Linked DNA regions of Coturnix japonica. The protein of the gene in region 2 interacts with the protein of the main gene of each other region in a pairwise test. Links are inferred from orthologs where the notes say so. Each region holds a gene or a part of one and is shown on either strand. Other genes may lie near its edges.

Region 1 (4,372 bases), about 61 Mb from region 2:
AATCCAGTCACCTGGATGTTTTAAGAACACTTCTCATCTTTCCACATGGGTAGAAAAAGGCTTCTTGTTTTGGGTGGAAAGAGACACATACTTTGTAGCTGATTGTTGTGGTTAAGGTAACACAGAGAAAGTCCATGGCTAAAAAATCTAGTTTTGGCCTTTTTGTGCATGCACTGATTTTGTATTTTGTGCATACTCTATATTTAATAATTGTACGTGTATCATATGTGCACATGTAAATAATAGTTCTTGATGAATAGTGGAAGAAGATCTCCTTCCAACTATATTTGATCTTTTTCACCCTGTTCAGAAAGCCATTAAACTAATCTTTACTACTTTTTGCTTTGTTTCTTATGCAAATTACGTAGCCACATGTGGTCTTTGCTATCACATGATATCCTTCAACTAACTGGGAAGGTCCAACAAATTTGATAGCATGAGAATTTTCAGGAGGAGTTTGCATCTCACTAAACAACAAGCAGCCCGATTATGAGCTCTATGTCTGTAGGCAACCAGGTATCACCAGTTCCAAGAACAAATTTCATTATGTCATAATGTTGTACTGAAAACTGTACAAACTGTTTCAGCCAATGATGTCACAGGGAACTATTTATAGCTTTTTCTTTTCTTTTCTTCCTTTTACTGCGTGTCCTTGCCTTACATGCAGTAAATAAAGCAGGCATCTCATTCACCACTCATCTACAGACCGATATGGAAAATATTCTCCTATTACTGAATAGAGAACCACATCCCATAAAATGAAGTGAATTGACCTTTACATTCATAAGAAAAGAAATGTTTGCAAATTGTTGTCTGAAACTGACTTATTCTGGGATAAAGTGCAATCGAGGTGTTATTTGTTCAGTGCACCTTCAAATTCAGACTCCAGACTTTTCTCCTAGCAGGAGTCTGTTTCAAGAAATATCTTTCAACATTTCACATCCTTCATCATGTGGAGGAAGGGATACTTAAGAGGTTTGTGTATTGTAACAATATGAAATGTAGTTTCTTCACTATTTTTTTCATACTTAGAAAAAAAGTATTTTCCATCAGGAACAAGTTTGAGAGGTAAAAATCTCTCGAAGTCAATGAAAACAGAAAATTATAAAGGGACTGATTAAGCTGTCAACCCTGGAGCTCATCTGTAGAACCTCTGACTCTGTTCTGTCGGCCTTGTGGGTTATGGCTGCACTTGCAGTTGCTCATCTATCAGAAGAACTGTTTATCCACAGCTGCCACGATCTTGACAGAAATTAAGTATTACTTTTTCGCAATGCCTCCAAACAGTGTGAAGGTAAAAACAACGACAGTCGTACAGCCTGTCACTGACCCTGCTTTAACCACTCTCGCACGTTTCAGAGGCCGACGCCCGGCTAATCCGCGCCGTGCATTCGTAGCTCCGCGGAGCAGCCAGCAAGGGGCGCTGCGCGGCGGGCTCGGCGCAAGGAGGGAGCGGGCTGCGGATCACCTGCAGCAGCCGGGGGGGGTCGGGAGCTCCTCCCCCCTTCCCGCGGTTAATCGCATCCCCCTCCGCCCGTAGCAGGCACTGGCGGCGCGGCGGCGGGCAGAGCTGTCCACCTGCGGCAGGCGCGCGGGCACCCGCAGCCCGTTCGCTCCCAGCCGCAGAGCGGTGCGGTTGTGAGCAGCGTCCGGGAGGAGGAGAGAGAGGGGGAGCTATGGCCGAGGGGGGCGAAGGCGAGGACGAGATCCAGTTCCTGCGAACTGTAAGTGCCGCGCCGAGCTCGGGGCGGGGGCTCATGGGGTGAAGGCGGCTGGGGGCGATGCTTTGAGGAGGACTGATGGGGGACGTCGCGTGAACGGGCGGGGAGGCGAGGGAGCAGCGGGGGGAACCCTGCCGGGGCTTTGCTGAGCAAGTGCCCCGGGCCCGCGAACGTGGTGGGGGGCGAGTAACAGCTGGCTCCGCTTAACCGGGCTGGGATGAGAGGGGGACGGTGCGGAGGCGGCGGTGCGGGGGCACGCGGGAGGGGGAGGCGCGTGCTGGGCGCCCCCGCCGCCCCCGCGAGTATCTGAGCGCGGCTCCCACCCGCCGCTGTGCTCGCGTACTGCGGATACTCACCAGGCTGCGCTCCTGCCTTACGGGGCTGCGACCGCGCTCCTTCTGCAATAGCAGCGCTGAGCGAATCGCCTCCCCACCCCAGCGAGGTGCCCACTAACTTATAGGCGTTCATCGCGCTGAGCACGGACTAACACAGCTCTTCTTTCTTGGTGTGAGCATCCTCAGTCCAAAGCACGTAAAGGCGCTAGAGCGTTTCTTCTCTGAGTTTAGCTCATTTGTCTGGGGGGCTGCGCTTCTTGCTTTTCTGGATTATTTTACTTCGTGCAATGCTTTGTTCACCTTCTGGACCGTCTCCCAAGTGCTGTTTGTAACTGCAGTCCTAGTAAGTTTTGGAGATGGGTGTATTCAGACGGTGCAGTATCCAAACCCAGTCACAGTTCTAGGAAAAATTGCTGAGGTGTCTGTTAGAGAATGAGATGCTGAAATAGCATGGTAACCCTTGTTTTCCCCTTTTTAATGCAGTCCAATGTAAGAAGTGTTAATGACAGATGTGTAGCAACAAAATGTATTTTAAAAGGATAGGAAAGCAAATTGCACAGCCTGTGCAAAGCACTTCATGTGCCATTTGCAGCATTATGGAGCTTAGATCTCAATTTTCTTGTGGTTTTATTTTTTTTCCTCTCCAATCAGAAGCTGGAAAGTAATAAACGTACATTCTGTTATAATAATAATTATTATTTTTGTTTATAGTTCTTGGAAACTGTGGTGTTATACAGGGAGGGATAAGGGTGTTATGCAACACTGGCATGAAAATTGTCAACTTTTCTTTTCCTCTTGGTATTATTTGGTTCCTACTGTGATGTTGTGTAACACCTGAAGACAAACCAGAAAATACTTGGATGAAAGAGAATGTGTCAGATCAATGTATAAGTTTTTATTGTTTGTCCTCTTACTGGAAAATGCTTTTGAAATACTTGTGCTGTCACAGACAGGCTTACTGCAGGTCTCTGTGTTAGGCTTAGCTCATGATATGCTGTTATCTGAATACTTAATAGGGAAAGCGAAGCTGTGGACATGATAATACTGCCGCGTACATATAGAGTAGTGCTGAACTATAGCGCCTGACAGCAGCAGCACATTACGTAAAACAGCACTCCTGATAATGTGCATCAGGCTTAACAGATTTCTGGCCAACGCAGCCTGAGACCATGCTTAAAGAATCTGTAGAATGTTGTACTGATGGAAAATGACCTTGAATGTGATAAGCTGAGGTGAAAGGGAATTCATGTGGTGAAATAATGAAAGACCTGAGAAATAGCCTTTTCACATGAAGTTTTTGACCCTCTAACCTGTAGTTATATGCAAGTAATAATTTTTAACTTCTCCTTATGCTTTGTTGAAGTTATGATCATGACTAGGTGAAGTCAGTTGCTTTAAGGTGTAACCTCAGTGTTTCAGTTCTTCTGTCCGTAAAGTTGTTTGGTTTAGTATTCTCTAGTGCTGTTGGGTACACATGGCTTTCTGAATGGCCTTGGTAGAAAGCACTGCAAATCAAATGTTACCTTGTAGCTGCCTCGATTTCTCCTTTTAGTTATTAATTTTTGAAGAAGTAATTGGGTACAGATGGATTTGTGAATGGTTTTGGTAGTTAAAATAGAAGACAACAAAGAACATCTTATACCAGCAAAAAAGCTTTCTGTGCAATGAATGCCTTAATCGTGACATCTGTGGACCTGCTACATATAAAAAGTGCTTTTTGAATTTTCTTCTTTTGACAGGTCTGGATAAACTTTCTGAAAAAATGGGTCTTTTTCTGACACTTCAAAATGCCTGTGATATCTTGAATTTTCTCTGGAATTCAAATACTATTTGTCATTTGTAATATTTCAAGAGAAATGTGAGACTTTCTTCAGTAAAAAGATTCGTTTCATTGTAGGTAGTAATTAAACTGGATTTGTATTTGCCATCTATGTGCTGATGTATTTTTGTGAATGCATATACATATACACACATATAAAACTTAGGTTTTCATGCATTCCTGCTTTGCCTAATGATTCCTCTTCTTTTGGTGCTCATCTTATTTTTTTTTAATGAGGCGGTGTCATGCGTTTCCTCCTACAAATTTGCTGGTTGGGTGCTTTATGTTTCTCTTTGGAACAATTTGAGTTTGATGTGACACTTTTGGAAAATGAATGTAACTTGTTAATGCTCTGGGCTTCTGGAAGCAATCCTTACATTGGCTGAGATTACTTCCGATAGACTCAGCTTCAGATAGACTCATCTCTCCTTAAGGAAATCTTGTATAGTCATGTGAATTACATGCTTCTTCACTGACAGTAGTCTCCTTCATTAGTT
Region 2 (4,454 bases):
TCCCTCTGAAGTTACCCAGCACACTGTGGCTGCCATAGACCACTGCCACCACCGCTATGCACTGCCACCTCTGCAAAGTTTGCCTCTTTCACCTCTGACACTCACATGTCTAAATCCAACTGGAGGTGGGAGGTGACAGTTTTCTTGCAGGAAAACTTCTGAATTTGGGGCTGGAATAGAAATGTATCTTTCAGCACCTTCACAAAAACAGCTTCAAAACACCCATTTTCAGATCCAAGGTGCAAGGAAATGTCTGCAAGAGCTGAAGCTGGCATGGGAGATCCATGTGTTTAACTTCCACACTGTTCTAACTCCTATTAGAAACCCTAGATAAAAATACTCTGAACATATAAATGTATACAAGAGCAAACCCCAACCCCTCATATCCTAAGCCAGTGTGCTAACAGTGCTCCCTCTGAGGAGAAAGATTATTCAAACCATGTTAAAAAGCTTCTTGGAAATACAAATGTATATATTTATATATATAAATGCATATAACTTCATTAACTGTATCTAGTGAAAATGGTGATGTTTTACATTCTAAGGAGAAAACCTCCTGAAATGGCAGCTCTTGATGCAAACGTCACAACCGAGGACTCAGGCTGCAGAAGTCTCTGCATTCTTATGACAATTTACATAACTAAATACACAAGACAACATTGCAAACTGACTTAAAGGACATTTTCCCTCCGTGCAAAGGTACAGCACAACCAGCTCCACCAGCAAACTCACTGCTTGAGATTCATGCATACCCACAAAGCAGGTGTTAACCAGACCTTGAATGGATCTCTTCAAACTGGAATGAATTCTACCAGCAGCACGCAGATTCTTTTAAGATATAAACAATCATGAATTGTCTGTATCAAGGTCAGAGGCTGGAAAAATACGAACCTGGCATTTGCACTGCTTCATGCTCGATTTCATTTGCTCATGGAATGACTTAAAGAATCAGGTGTGCAGATTCATCTGCCAACTTGTCCCCACTAAACACCACTCTTGACAAATTCACTGGCGCGCGCATCTCGATACTGCAGCCTGAACTACAAGTCAAACATTCAGGAAATCCATCACAACACAATTAAATCGATTGTGAACGGCAGCACAAAGCAACAGCCACAACTGAACTGATACAACACTGTTGGGCATAATGCAGCTGGCATGGACACAACAACCAGAACATGCCTTACCTGTGTAGTGCACCACACACGTCTGCCCCTTCTTCGGGAACGTCCGCCCTGTTAAAAGGATAACGGGTTATTGTATATTTTCTCTTTTCCTTCAGTTAACAATGTTAATGTTCTAGTATTGAGCAATGGTAGAACAGAGAGATCATGAATCCTTATGAGAGCCTGGCAGCTCCCCCTAAAACGTTCACCCCGAAATGAAGGCTTAGCTTATTTCCTCAATGAAAGATGGAATTACTGTTTTCATATTACCTGCTCCAGGCACTGCAGGCTGGGGGAAGATCTGCTGGGCTCATAGAGGTGTTGGCTGCACACTGGCTCAGCTAACCTTGATCTCTAAAGCAGTGCTGGCCAGGGGAGGGTCAGCAAGGGGAGACTCAAGAACTTAGGAAGTATGAATGATACAAATGATTAATGAACAGCATTGTCATAAGGGCAGGAAATAGGGATTCAGATAGAAACTAAGGTTTGTTTGTATCTTGGATCTCTGGCCTCCTTAGTCTGACTTAACAGGAGAGCAAGTTATGCAAAATCGTGTGTAAATCATCGGCTAACAATACAAGCTGTGCATTCAGGACTCGTATGCCCAAAGCACCAAACAAGCTGCGGGAGAACAGGCTACCACAAACAGAGATCTGTGTCATGCAATGGAGAAGATGGTGCTTCCGAGCATCACTGGAACACCCTGAGCATCAGCCTGTGTGTGGCTGCAGCCCCTCCAGCTGTGGGTGCAACAGTCAAGCAAGAGAAATGATCGATATCTCCTTATTTGGGATAGCTGATGGCTTCCAAAGATCTAAGAGCTCACACGCAGTGCTGCACTGGGAGCCCAGGTACCCACACGGTGTTCTGAGCCCACATCTGAGCGCCCATCCAGGGGCACAGCGAGATGCCCGCGGACAAGAGCACGGAGAGAGAGGGCAGTTTAAAGGTACACACGGAGGAAGCAGAGAGAACGGGCCGAGAAAGTTACACAGGGACGGACTTCGGCGAATTGCGTTGAGCTGAGGGTGAATGTGGGCTGGAGGCGGATGGGGATGGTGGGATCTTGGGGGCTGCGGGCTCGTAGAAATCATGGCAACAAAAAGCAGAGCCATGAAACGACACAGCAGCCTGACCGCGAGGCTCCGCAGGGCGATGCCGCTCCCAGCCGGGTACCGGAGGAGGGATGGATGCTGCCCCAAATGGCCGCCCGCCCCCGGGGGAGCCGGCAGAGCGCCGGGCAAAGTTTGCGGCGGGGCGGTGCCGGCCTCACGATCCCCATTGACTGCCAGCTCCCGGCGTCGTGCAGCTGTCGGCGGATACCACAGCAAAATCCCCGGCCCCCGCGCCGCCCCCTCCGCTCTCCTCCCGGGACCCGGCGCTCCGGGTACGGCCGCTCCCCGCTGTCGGAGCTCCGTCCGACGGCAGCACCCCGCAGCCGGGCACCGCCACCCCCCCACCCCGCAGGGCTGCCCTGCCGCCCGTTCCCCGCTGCGGCTCGTACCGTCTCCCGGAGAGATGGTCTCGATCTCCACCCCCATCTCGGCGCTGGGCTCCGATCGGCAGCCCTGGGCACGGCTCGGCTCGGCGCTGCCGGACCCCCAGTGCAGGCACGCCCCTCCGCGGCCGGCTGACAGGGGCCTCCCCGGCTGCCCGTCAGCAGCCCGCAGCCAATGCAGGGCAGGGGCGGGGAGGCAGGGGAGGGGAGGGGGGCCGCCAGCCTCCGCCCGCAGCTCCCCGGGGACGCGGGGCTGCTGTGCAGTGCAATGCAGTGCGGTGGTACGCTATGCTATGCAATACAATGCAATGCAATGCTATGCTATGCTATGCCATGCTATGCTAGGCCGCCAGCAGCGCGGCCCCCTCAGCTCGGGGAGGGCAGCGGCACCCCCGCCCTCAGGTACCGCCCTCAGCTTTAAAGATGAAGATGTGTGTATGTATTCCGTAGCTGCTCCCGTGATGTGAGATCGCCAGTTCATTTGCCTGTGCGAGAACTGCAGCTGGTGCTGGTAGAATCATTAAGGTGGGAAGGACCACCAAGGTCAGCTTAGTCCGGCTGTGCCTGGGGCTGCCCTCACTGCCACATCTCTGTTGTTCTTGAACACCTCCAGGGATGGCGATCCACCACCTCCCTGGGCAGCCCACTCCAATATCAAACCAGCTTGAGTAGAAATGTTCCCTAATATCCAACCTGAACCTCCTGTGGGCACAAATTGTTGTCACAGATATCAAACAGCAGACAGTGCTGTTGTTTCTCACCTTACGGTACTCACACAGTGCTATAGAGGCCCTTGAAGATACTGGTGTTAACAATTGCACAGCAGATGAAGAGCTCGGAAGAGAAGGCTGAAGCAATGAATGCCACATATCTTCAGGAAAGCCTCTGAAATACAAGAGAAAATGGCTTAGTATTGGCAGAGGATTGGAGGAGAGGCAAAAAGAACAACAGGGCCAACATGGAAAGTGTTTGAATGACCAAGAGAACGGCTAAAACCAAGTTATAGGGGATTAATGTTTTAAAGAATGCTCTTTCAAAGCTATTGCATTACATCCACCTCCTCCTCTGCTCAGAGGTCTGTGTCTCAAGCATAAAGCCCTCTAGCCTCAGCTTTCAAGGCTCTCAGTGCTTGACATACTGGTTTCTAGAGCAATGAATTTGATAGTATGTGCTTAGAAATGGAGGCAAATATCCCTCGCCACCAGGACCTAAGGGAGAGAAGAGGTCAATACAATTTACCGCTTCCAAAAAACGTTGGTTTAAGATTAATGTCTTGAGCTGAACTCACTCTCTCCCAAGCTTCTGTCTCCCCAATGCAAGACCCTGACATGGCAGACCCAGTTCAGTAACGGGCCACCAACATGTAATAGGTGGAGGGGACGAGGATCTGGGGCTGTTCTGCATAAGACAAAGCTAAGGGAGGGCTTCTGCTGCTGTCTGCAGCTCCCTCATGTGGGTGGAAGCGCACAGCAAGAGGTAATGGACACGAATCACAAGGGAATTTCCAACACCAGGGAAGTCTTCACATTGTGAGTTACCATACAAAGCTTTGGGGAACCTGACCAAACCTTGGAACTAGCTGTTGCACCGTATGGCCTCCAAAGATCCCTTCCCTTCAACTGCTGTATGAGCCCGTAATGCTCTTCCTATAGAATGAGGAAGAAGAGCAGTGGTAGTGAGATGAACTGCACGGCGTTAATCTTAGTCTGAAGAAATGCAATTACAACTCACAGCTCTGGAACAGACCGACTGCATCACTAAATCACTTTGGTTATATTTGCAGTGCATAA

What was found.
Region 1: the proteins of FKBP1B (region 2) and RYR2 interact in binary tests that used the Homo sapiens proteins (3 or more experiments, as listed by UniProt). The link is inferred for Coturnix japonica from reciprocal best matches to the Homo sapiens genes FKBP1B and RYR2.

The regions. Positions count from the first base shown.
Region 1 is NC_029518.1:33,724,389-33,728,760, reverse strand, and holds the start of RYR2 (ryanodine receptor 2), read left to right. Parts: upstream 1-1,540; 5' UTR 1,541-1,676; coding exon 1,677-1,724; intron 1,725-4,372. UniProt on the Homo sapiens protein: Cytosolic calcium-activated calcium channel that mediates the release of Ca(2+) from the sarcoplasmic reticulum into the cytosol and thereby plays a key role in triggering cardiac muscle contraction. Aberrant channel activation can lead to cardiac arrhythmia.
Region 2 is NC_029518.1:95,085,833-95,090,286, reverse strand, and holds the start of FKBP1B (peptidyl-prolyl cis-trans isomerase FKBP1B), read right to left. Parts: upstream 2,835-4,454; 5' UTR 2,708-2,834; coding exon 2,671-2,707; intron 1,236-2,670; coding exon 1,188-1,235; intron 1-1,187. UniProt on the Homo sapiens protein: Has the potential to contribute to the immunosuppressive and toxic effects of FK506 and rapamycin. PPIases accelerate the folding of proteins. It catalyzes the cis-trans isomerization of proline imidic peptide bonds in oligopeptides.